Linked DNA regions of Coturnix japonica. The protein of the gene in region 1 interacts with the protein of each later gene in a pairwise test. Links are inferred from orthologs where the notes say so. Each region holds a gene or a part of one and is shown in the gene's direction. Other genes may lie near its edges.

The links.
Region 2: the proteins of SH2D4A (region 1) and TACC1 interact in binary tests that used the Homo sapiens proteins (3 or more experiments, as listed by UniProt). The two-hybrid records come from large-scale screens. The link is inferred for Coturnix japonica from reciprocal best matches to the Homo sapiens genes SH2D4A and TACC1.

Annotation. Positions count from the first base shown.
Region 1 is NC_029519.1:30,062,847-30,066,659, forward strand, and holds part of SH2D4A (SH2 domain-containing protein 4A), read left to right. Parts: coding exon 1-100; intron 101-748; coding exon 749-908; intron 909-3,392; coding exon 3,393-3,458; intron 3,459-3,813. UniProt on the Homo sapiens protein: Inhibits estrogen-induced cell proliferation by competing with PLCG for binding to ESR1, blocking the effect of estrogen on PLCG and repressing estrogen-induced proliferation. May play a role in T-cell development and function.
Region 2 is NC_029537.1:3,769,886-3,773,698, forward strand, and holds part of TACC1 (transforming acidic coiled-coil-containing protein 1), read left to right. Parts: intron 1-739; coding exon 740-874; intron 875-971; coding exon 972-1,048; intron 1,049-1,385; coding exon 1,386-1,429; intron 1,430-1,505; coding exon 1,506-1,666; intron 1,667-1,804; coding exon 1,805-1,911; intron 1,912-2,105; coding exon 2,106-2,226; intron 2,227-2,387; coding exon 2,388-2,456; 3' UTR 2,457-3,813. UniProt on the Homo sapiens protein: Involved in transcription regulation induced by nuclear receptors, including in T3 thyroid hormone and all-trans retinoic acid pathways. Might promote the nuclear localization of the receptors.

The DNA of each region.
Region 1 (3,813 bases):
TGGGTGAGCATCCTTCAGATAAATCATATGCAGCCATCTGTGAAGAGATCCAGGCACAAAGGGCAAAGCGGTTAGCGAACGAGCAAGGCAAGGAGACCAGGTAAGAAGCCATCACTTGGAGAACTTGGGGGGTGGACAGGGAGGAAAAGACATTCCTAGAAAGTGGAGGCTGGACTCTTCTCCAGGGACTCTCTCCTCTGCCCTGTAAGTTTTCCTCCTTATGAGGAAGCAAGAGGACAAATCCAGCATTGCCACAGGGAAGTAACACTCATCTCTTTGTAAAACCTCTTCCCTTTGATTTAAACTTCGGGGCTGGGCTGGGTGCGGTCATCACTGTCACACTTCACTTGCAGACCAAAGGCACAGGTTTTCTGCAGGTACACAAAATACCAGCAGAGATCAGCTCCAGCTTGGGGCCTGCCCCAGCTCCTCAGTCTCCCAGGATATCCCTGCTGTGCAGTAACCTCAACATATCACAGGAAATGGTAACTGTTCCTGCAGCAGGCCACGTGTTTGGATTGCACTGATTCACCAACAGGTGCTTGCCTGCCTACAGCAGGCCAACAGTTACTCACAATGAATAACTAATTTAATTGTTCCATCTACCTGATCTGGAGATATGACAGCTGCATGCAGGCACACACTGCTCCATCACAGCACTACTTGCTCATGTGTAATTTCCTGTCAGATGTTTAGAGAGCAGAGAGTCTCTCCCTGGTATTCCTAAGAACTGTCCCTTGTGTTTCAGAGAGACGGACTGTGCTGTAACACAGTCTCTGCAACCACAGCCAGAAGTCCTGGGTGAGACAGAAGTTCAGGGAAACAATAAAAACACTGTAGAGGAACAGAAAGAAGAGGCGAGAAAAAACACTGCTGGTACAATTGGGAAAAGCCAGGAGCTCAAAAAGGTAGCTTTCCCCTTTTTTTCCATACTAATAACCATTTGCTTTGAGATCTAGGAAGTGCAGCAAATCCTGGTTGCTATAAATAGAAATCTGAGAGAGAAGCCAGCTGACTATTAAGGTTTTTCATCTGTACTTTCAGGACAAGCCATACTGCTACATCCTTCCTTAGGACCTGAAGGTCCAAGTGCTATTGTTAGCTGGGACAGATCTGTTCTGCACCACTAGACAAGTTACTCTCAATTCCTTTGCTTCCCATTCTCCATGGATATAGTGAGAATCACATCACTTTCCTTCCTTCTCTGTGGCAGATTGGACTGCTTTTCAGAGGCAAAAGAGGAAAGCCATGGCCCTCACATAACTCATCTACTTTCACAGAAGATGAGATGAATGTAATTCTGCCACTATTCTCTAAAATACGTATCCTCAAGTCCCCTCTTTTGTTGTCTATTTCTTTTTTTCTTTGTCTCCTAGAAAAGATGATAGTTGATAAACTTGACAGCACAGGACAACTCCAAATGCAGTAACTACAATGACAGCATCTCCATCTTTACTGAGGTGTTTCATTACAGAAATATTTTTCTCCATTAATAAATACATTTGTCCTGTTTAACTAGCTACAAAAAGCCATTTACAGAGAACTGAGATTAAAAAAAAAACAAACAAAAAACAACAAACAAAACAACAAAGAAATTAGCTACCAGTGCAATCAAAGTTGAACTGGAAAATCCTGCCAGTTCAATGGGAGAAGTCCAATCTCATCCTGTGAGTTTTCGTTCTGCCTTTTGCTGCTAACTTCTATGAGTGTATATTGCTCTGTTACACAACCATGCCATATTTCAGCATAAAAGCACTGTAACTAAAGGCTGAGTTTGGGCTAAATGCCTCTCCCACTGCTGCCAATATGCTGAAGGGAATTTGGTGGCTGAGTGGCTGTTTCCTTTATCAGATGGTTCTGAATCACACAAGGTTTTTCTCAGCACTGTTTGCTGAAGTTGAGCAACTATGTGGGAGATCCTTTTTTTTCCCACCCTCCCTTTTTTAAAGAAAGCTATTAGTCAATATTAACAGCAACAAAAACGAAACCCAAAATCCATCACTGAATCAGCCAACTAAAAATCCCACTACCAAAGATATAAAACCCTTACAAACTTTTGCAGATGAAAACAGAGGAGTTTTGCATATTTTACTTTCTGTTTTCCGTCACTGTATTGTAAATAAGTTATTTTCCCAGGTTTCTGATGTTTATGCTAGTCAAGGGGAGGATACAGGCTGCAGACCCAAATGTTGCATTTTGTAAAGGTGGAGAGAAGGGGAGCTAGCTTTCTCTCACCCTCCCTTGTTAAATTGCCTTTTCTGTACCTGAGGGATCTGAGCACTATGCTTCGCTGCAGGGGCCATGGGGTTTGATCTAAGAAAACAAGCTGCTTCACTCAAGTTTTAAGTTCCTAGTTCTCTGTTTAGGAAAAGGAAATTGGAAATCCAGGGTCATATTAAATATTAGCCCAACAGGTGATAGAGAAAGCAAAGCATGTCCTTGGAAAGCAGTGTAGTACAGCTAACTTATTACTCACTGTGCTGTGGGAGGCAGTTTGGGTCAAATAGGGTGGTGGGTGGATGTTTGCTCAAAGACAAGCCTCACCTTTTCCTAAAAGACAGGTCTCAGCTGCCAGCATAGCCAGACTGGTTTTAGGAAAGAGAAAACATGAGGCATGCAGCTAGTTGGGTCAGTCTGACAGGCAGTGGTTTGCAGCAGTCAGCCACAGTAACAAAAGAGAAAAAGCAGCTGAAGCACTAGATGGCAGGTTCTGCTAGGGCTTGATTTATGGAGATGGAAAGAAGGCAAGCTTCCCTTCTTTCTGCTCCCTGGGACCACTTGTGAGTATCACTTACCTAATCTAGGCAGACTTAGGACAATTCCTGACACCCCTGACTCTTTTCCCGGTGGTATATTTGATTTAATGTGATGAAAAAAAAACTAACTATTTTTTTATCAGAGAAAACTGGAAAAAATTGTTAACATAGAAGTCACATTACTCCTTCTGCCTCGAACTCCTAGAGTCCAGCAACTTGCATATGCAGGAGATTAGACTGAGGTGTACCTGAAGTTGAAAGCACAAGTGAGATTCACTCTGGAAATGCTTTACTGGTGCACATCTCCAAGGGCAAAATACTCCCAAGATTCTTGTGCTCTACCTTTGGGGAGAGTGAAAAGGAAAGGGTAGCTGCTTCTTGCCATCAGCTCTGAAAATGCAGAATGTTCCTGCCTGCCTTACTGGGCTTGCCAGGGAGTGCTGTGAGAAGAGAGCAGCCTACAAAGCACGGCACTTCCATACAAAGAGCATTCCAGGCTATGGCAGCCCAGCACTACTATGTGGTACCCACAATCTCCACCTGCAGTCATGGAGATTTTTGTCAAGGACACATTCCAAAAAAGAGTAAAGTTCCAAATTCTGCATTTATTTCTCACCACTCTTTTCCTCTGCCCAGAAGGAAGCCCGGGATGTTCACCAGATGCTGGCAGACTGTCAGATGAGGAAGAGTGGCTTCTCACAGGTAAGCTGCAACCTAGGATGTTGCTGACTTTGTTTCCGACACAGACATTATCTTTAAGTCTCAGTCAGCTGTTTTCCTCTTGGCCCAGCTCTGCCCAGTACTGCCATACTCTACTAATAAGGTGTCAGAACAAAGCAGGCCAGCCTGGCAGACTGGGGAGTAATATGGGGAGATATTCCATGTTATTTCTGTTTTGCCCTTCTTTCTCTGTCATAACCCGCAGTAAAGTAAGAGGTTCTTTGAAATCAAAGGGATTCACAACTGAGAATGGAATCCCTAGTTTTTCAAAACTAGCTAAAAAGCAGGACTAAAACTAGCCTGGGACAAAGCACTGAACACATCATTTCTTTCACAG
Region 2 (3,813 bases), on another chromosome or scaffold:
AGCAGGTGACAACGAGATTAGCAACATCAGCAACATCAGCACCTCTGAGACAGATTTAACTGCACTAAGCCCCACAAGGACACTGGGCAAAGTGAACCTTGTGTTTGGTGCTGCTGAGGCTGCCCAAGCTGTGGGGAAGGCAGAGCTGTGCAGCTGCTGTGCATGGTGCTGCAGGAGGTTGCTGAGGCTGCCTGGACCTGGGGCTGTGTCCAAAGTGGTTGCCCACAGCTCCATCATGGGTGGATCCAGGCAGGGGGAGAGGGAGAGGGAGAGGGAGAGGGAGAGGGAGAGGGAGAGGGGAGAGAAGTGCTTTTGTTTCCAAAACACTGCAGAACCAGGCTGCCTTCTCCCAGCACTTTGCTATTTATGGCCTCACAGCCCGTTTCCAAGGAGATAACTGTGAGGGGCTGCACTGCTGCAGAGACAGTGGAGGGAGGAAGAAGCTGCCTGAGCTGTGTGGTGCAGGAGTGCTTTGCTGGGGACATTCACCCACAGGACCCCCCCACCCATACCCAGCACCCACCCCCATGGTGCAGCCCTAGCTATTCTAGAGCCAAACACAGAGCAAAGCAAAGTGACATTGGATGGGAGCACAGCTCAGCTTACAGCTGGGTCTGCCCCTGCTCTGCCTCTTCTTTGGGGTGCAGGCCCAGGGGCAGTGAGGGGGTGACCCCAAACATGGGAACCAAGGAGAAAAGATGAGCAAAAGACAACACCCAGCTGGGTGATTCCCATGCAGGGCCATCCCATGCTGTGCCTGGCAGACAAACCCCCCACAGCCATCACCAGTGGCAGCAGAAGTGACAGCCCCTTGGACAGCATCTGCCTGAACGCCTCCGAGAAGGCGGCCGTGCTCACACTCATCCGGGAGGAGGTAACAGTGTGGGCTGCCCTGTCCTGCTCTGCAATGGAGGGATGGGGGTGGGCGTGATGGTGGAGCACAGCCAAGCTCTCCTTCTGCTGCTCCCCAGATAATCACAAAGGAGATCGAAGCCAATGAGTGGAAGAAGAAGTACGAGGAGAGTCGTCAGGAGGTCCTGGAGATGAGGTGGGACCCCTGCCCGGTGGGATGCTGCGCTCATGTTCCCCCTGCTTGTCTGTGGGGCCGTAATGGGATGACACAGTTCTGCTTCACTGGGGTGGGACACATCGCGAGGCATGTCTGCTTTGTGCCTGCGCTGTGTTGAGCCTGCAGTTTGTTTGTTGTGGGGATGAAATCCCATTAGCTGCGGATGGAGGGGATCTGGGAGCAGCAGCAGGGGGTGCCCAGGCTGTTGCAGCACTGGGGCCCAGGGCAGCGTGCTGGAGCAGAGCTGTGGGTGTGTGTCTGCGGGAACTGCTGCTTCCTACTCACTTTTGTTCTTTTATTTCTTTTTCTTTTGCAGGAAAATTGTGGCTGAGTATGAAAAGACCATTGCCCAGATGATAGGTGAGGTCCCAGTGCTGCGGGGCAGGGCAATGCTGTCTGTGCTCAGTCACCACATCCCTGTTTGTTCCCCTCACAGAGGATGAGCAGAGGACAAATATGACCTCCCAAAAGAACCTGCAACAGCTCACCATGGAGAAGGACCAGGCGCTGGCAGACCTCAACTCTGTGGAGAGGTCCCTATCGGATCTGTTCAGGAGATATGAAAACCTGAAGGGTGTCCTGGAAGGTTTTAAGAAGGTCCTGATCTCGGTGTCCTCCCCCATCCCTGCAGCTATGGGGGCTGTGCATTGCCCCCACCCTGTCCCATGCAGATCTGTCATCAGAGAAGCACGCTGTGCTTGGTCCCAGTGCAGATGGATATACTTTGTTTTCCAGAATGAAGAAGCCCTGAAGAAGTGTGCTCAGGACTATTTAAACCGTGTCAAGCAAGAGGAGCAGCGATACCAGGCCCTGAAGGTCCACGCGGAGGAGAAGTTGGACAAGTAAGAGCTGTGAGGTGCAGGAGGATGGGCAGCACATGCCTGGCCCTGAGTAATGAGCATTCACCTCCATGCAGCAGTAGCAAAACCACCTCTGATGCATTGCAGCGTGCAGGAGCTGGGCTCTGCTGGAACATCATGACCCAACATCCTTACCACAGAACTCCCACCCCATAACCCCATCTCTCCCCATGCAGAGCCAACGAGGAGATCGCCCAGGTGCGCACCAAGGCCAAAGCAGAGAGCGCAGCTCTGCATGCAGGGCTGAGAAAGGAGCAGATGAAGGTGGAGTCCCTGGAGAGAGCCCTGCAGCAGAAGGTAACGTCCACTGCCAGCACACTGGGGATGCTCTGTGCTTCCACTTTGGTGCTGGAGCTGTTCTCTCTGTTTTGGGGTCAGAAAGTGCTTTTGAGGATCAAGGGAGTGGGGTCATGAGGGGATGAGGAGGGATGTACCACAGGGTCCTGCTTCCTTTCCAGAACCAGGAGATCGAGGAGCTGACCAAGATCTGCGACGAGCTGATCGCGAAGCTGGGCAGGGCAGACTGAGCTCACCACCCCCAGCTCCACACCCGGCTGCTTTTCTCCTACCTTCGAGCACTTTGCCTTATTATTACCCCAGAGCGACCCTGCAGAAAGCACACGTGTGGCTGCTGCACCCCAGGTGTGAAGGTGGCCATCCCCATGTGCTGTCACTGTCCTCACGTGCTGCATGGCACAGCACCAAGGGCTGTTGTTTGGAGCACCAGGGAAGGAGCTCTGCTTGGAGCTCCTTTCCCCACTCAGCACGGCGAGGCACAGAGCAGCAGTCACTCTCTGGATCTTGCACTGCTCTCTCCAGTCCCCCTGCAGCACTGCGTAATGAGGGAAGCAAACAAAGCTGCCCTTTACAGGGAAAGGCAGATCCAGGCAGCATTTCCATGCAGGCTGCCTGCTGCTTTTGGAGGTGGTTACTCCTTAGTGAGCCCAGCAGAAGGGCTGAGGCTCCTTCCCTCACCACACACAGGCAGCCCTGAGGTGTCAGATAAGGGAAATAAATGCTGTTGGACTGTTTCCTACCTAGCCCAGCTAAAACCTTAGCAAACCTTTTTGCTGCTACCTTTTTTTGTAAAAGAAATTGAGCTGTTTTTCCTTCTATTTTCTAACCCCTGCGTTCCGCATGCAGTGCAGACATCTGTTAAAGCAGAGCCATACACCGGAGATATATTTTATTAGTTATCTATTAGAAAGGATTTATTATATAGACACAAAGCTCGGGCACACGCAGGGTCCCCACCCGGCTCCCACTGACTCAGCAAAGGGGCTGATGGCTGATGCTGTGCACCTGCAGTGTTGTGTTGAACGTTCACCTCTTTGCACAGCTGACAGAATAGAAAACCCCCTTTTTTCCCCCTCTTTCCTTTGCTGGGTTGTCACACTGCCAACCACAACCTGCTGCAGCACAGCTCCCCTCACCAGCACCGTGGTGGCTGCAGCCTGGCACCACTCTCTTCCCTTCTTCTCCTATGTATCGAGCTCCACAGCAGCCCTCCCAGCCCCAGCGTGGCTGCAGGGCACTGGTGGCAGCCAGGAGCGATGCCAGCACAGCGAGATCAAATCTTTGTGATGCTTCCTGCAGCACGGAGCTGCGTGGAAGGCAGAGCTGTACCCGCAGCAGTGATACGATGTGGCAGCATCCTCACACTGCTCTGCTCCTGCTGTCCACATGCTGCTGCCTCCACCACCCGCGTGCTGTTGCATTTCTGTGCCTCTCAGCGTGCACGTCCAGTCTGGGCAAAGATTCCTAAGGAATGATTTATTAACTATAATATGGTTATAGTTGCATATATATAAATATATACATACCAGCCATAGTTACCTATAACAGAAGGCGTATTTTAAGTTCACGTGGGCAACACTGCTGCAT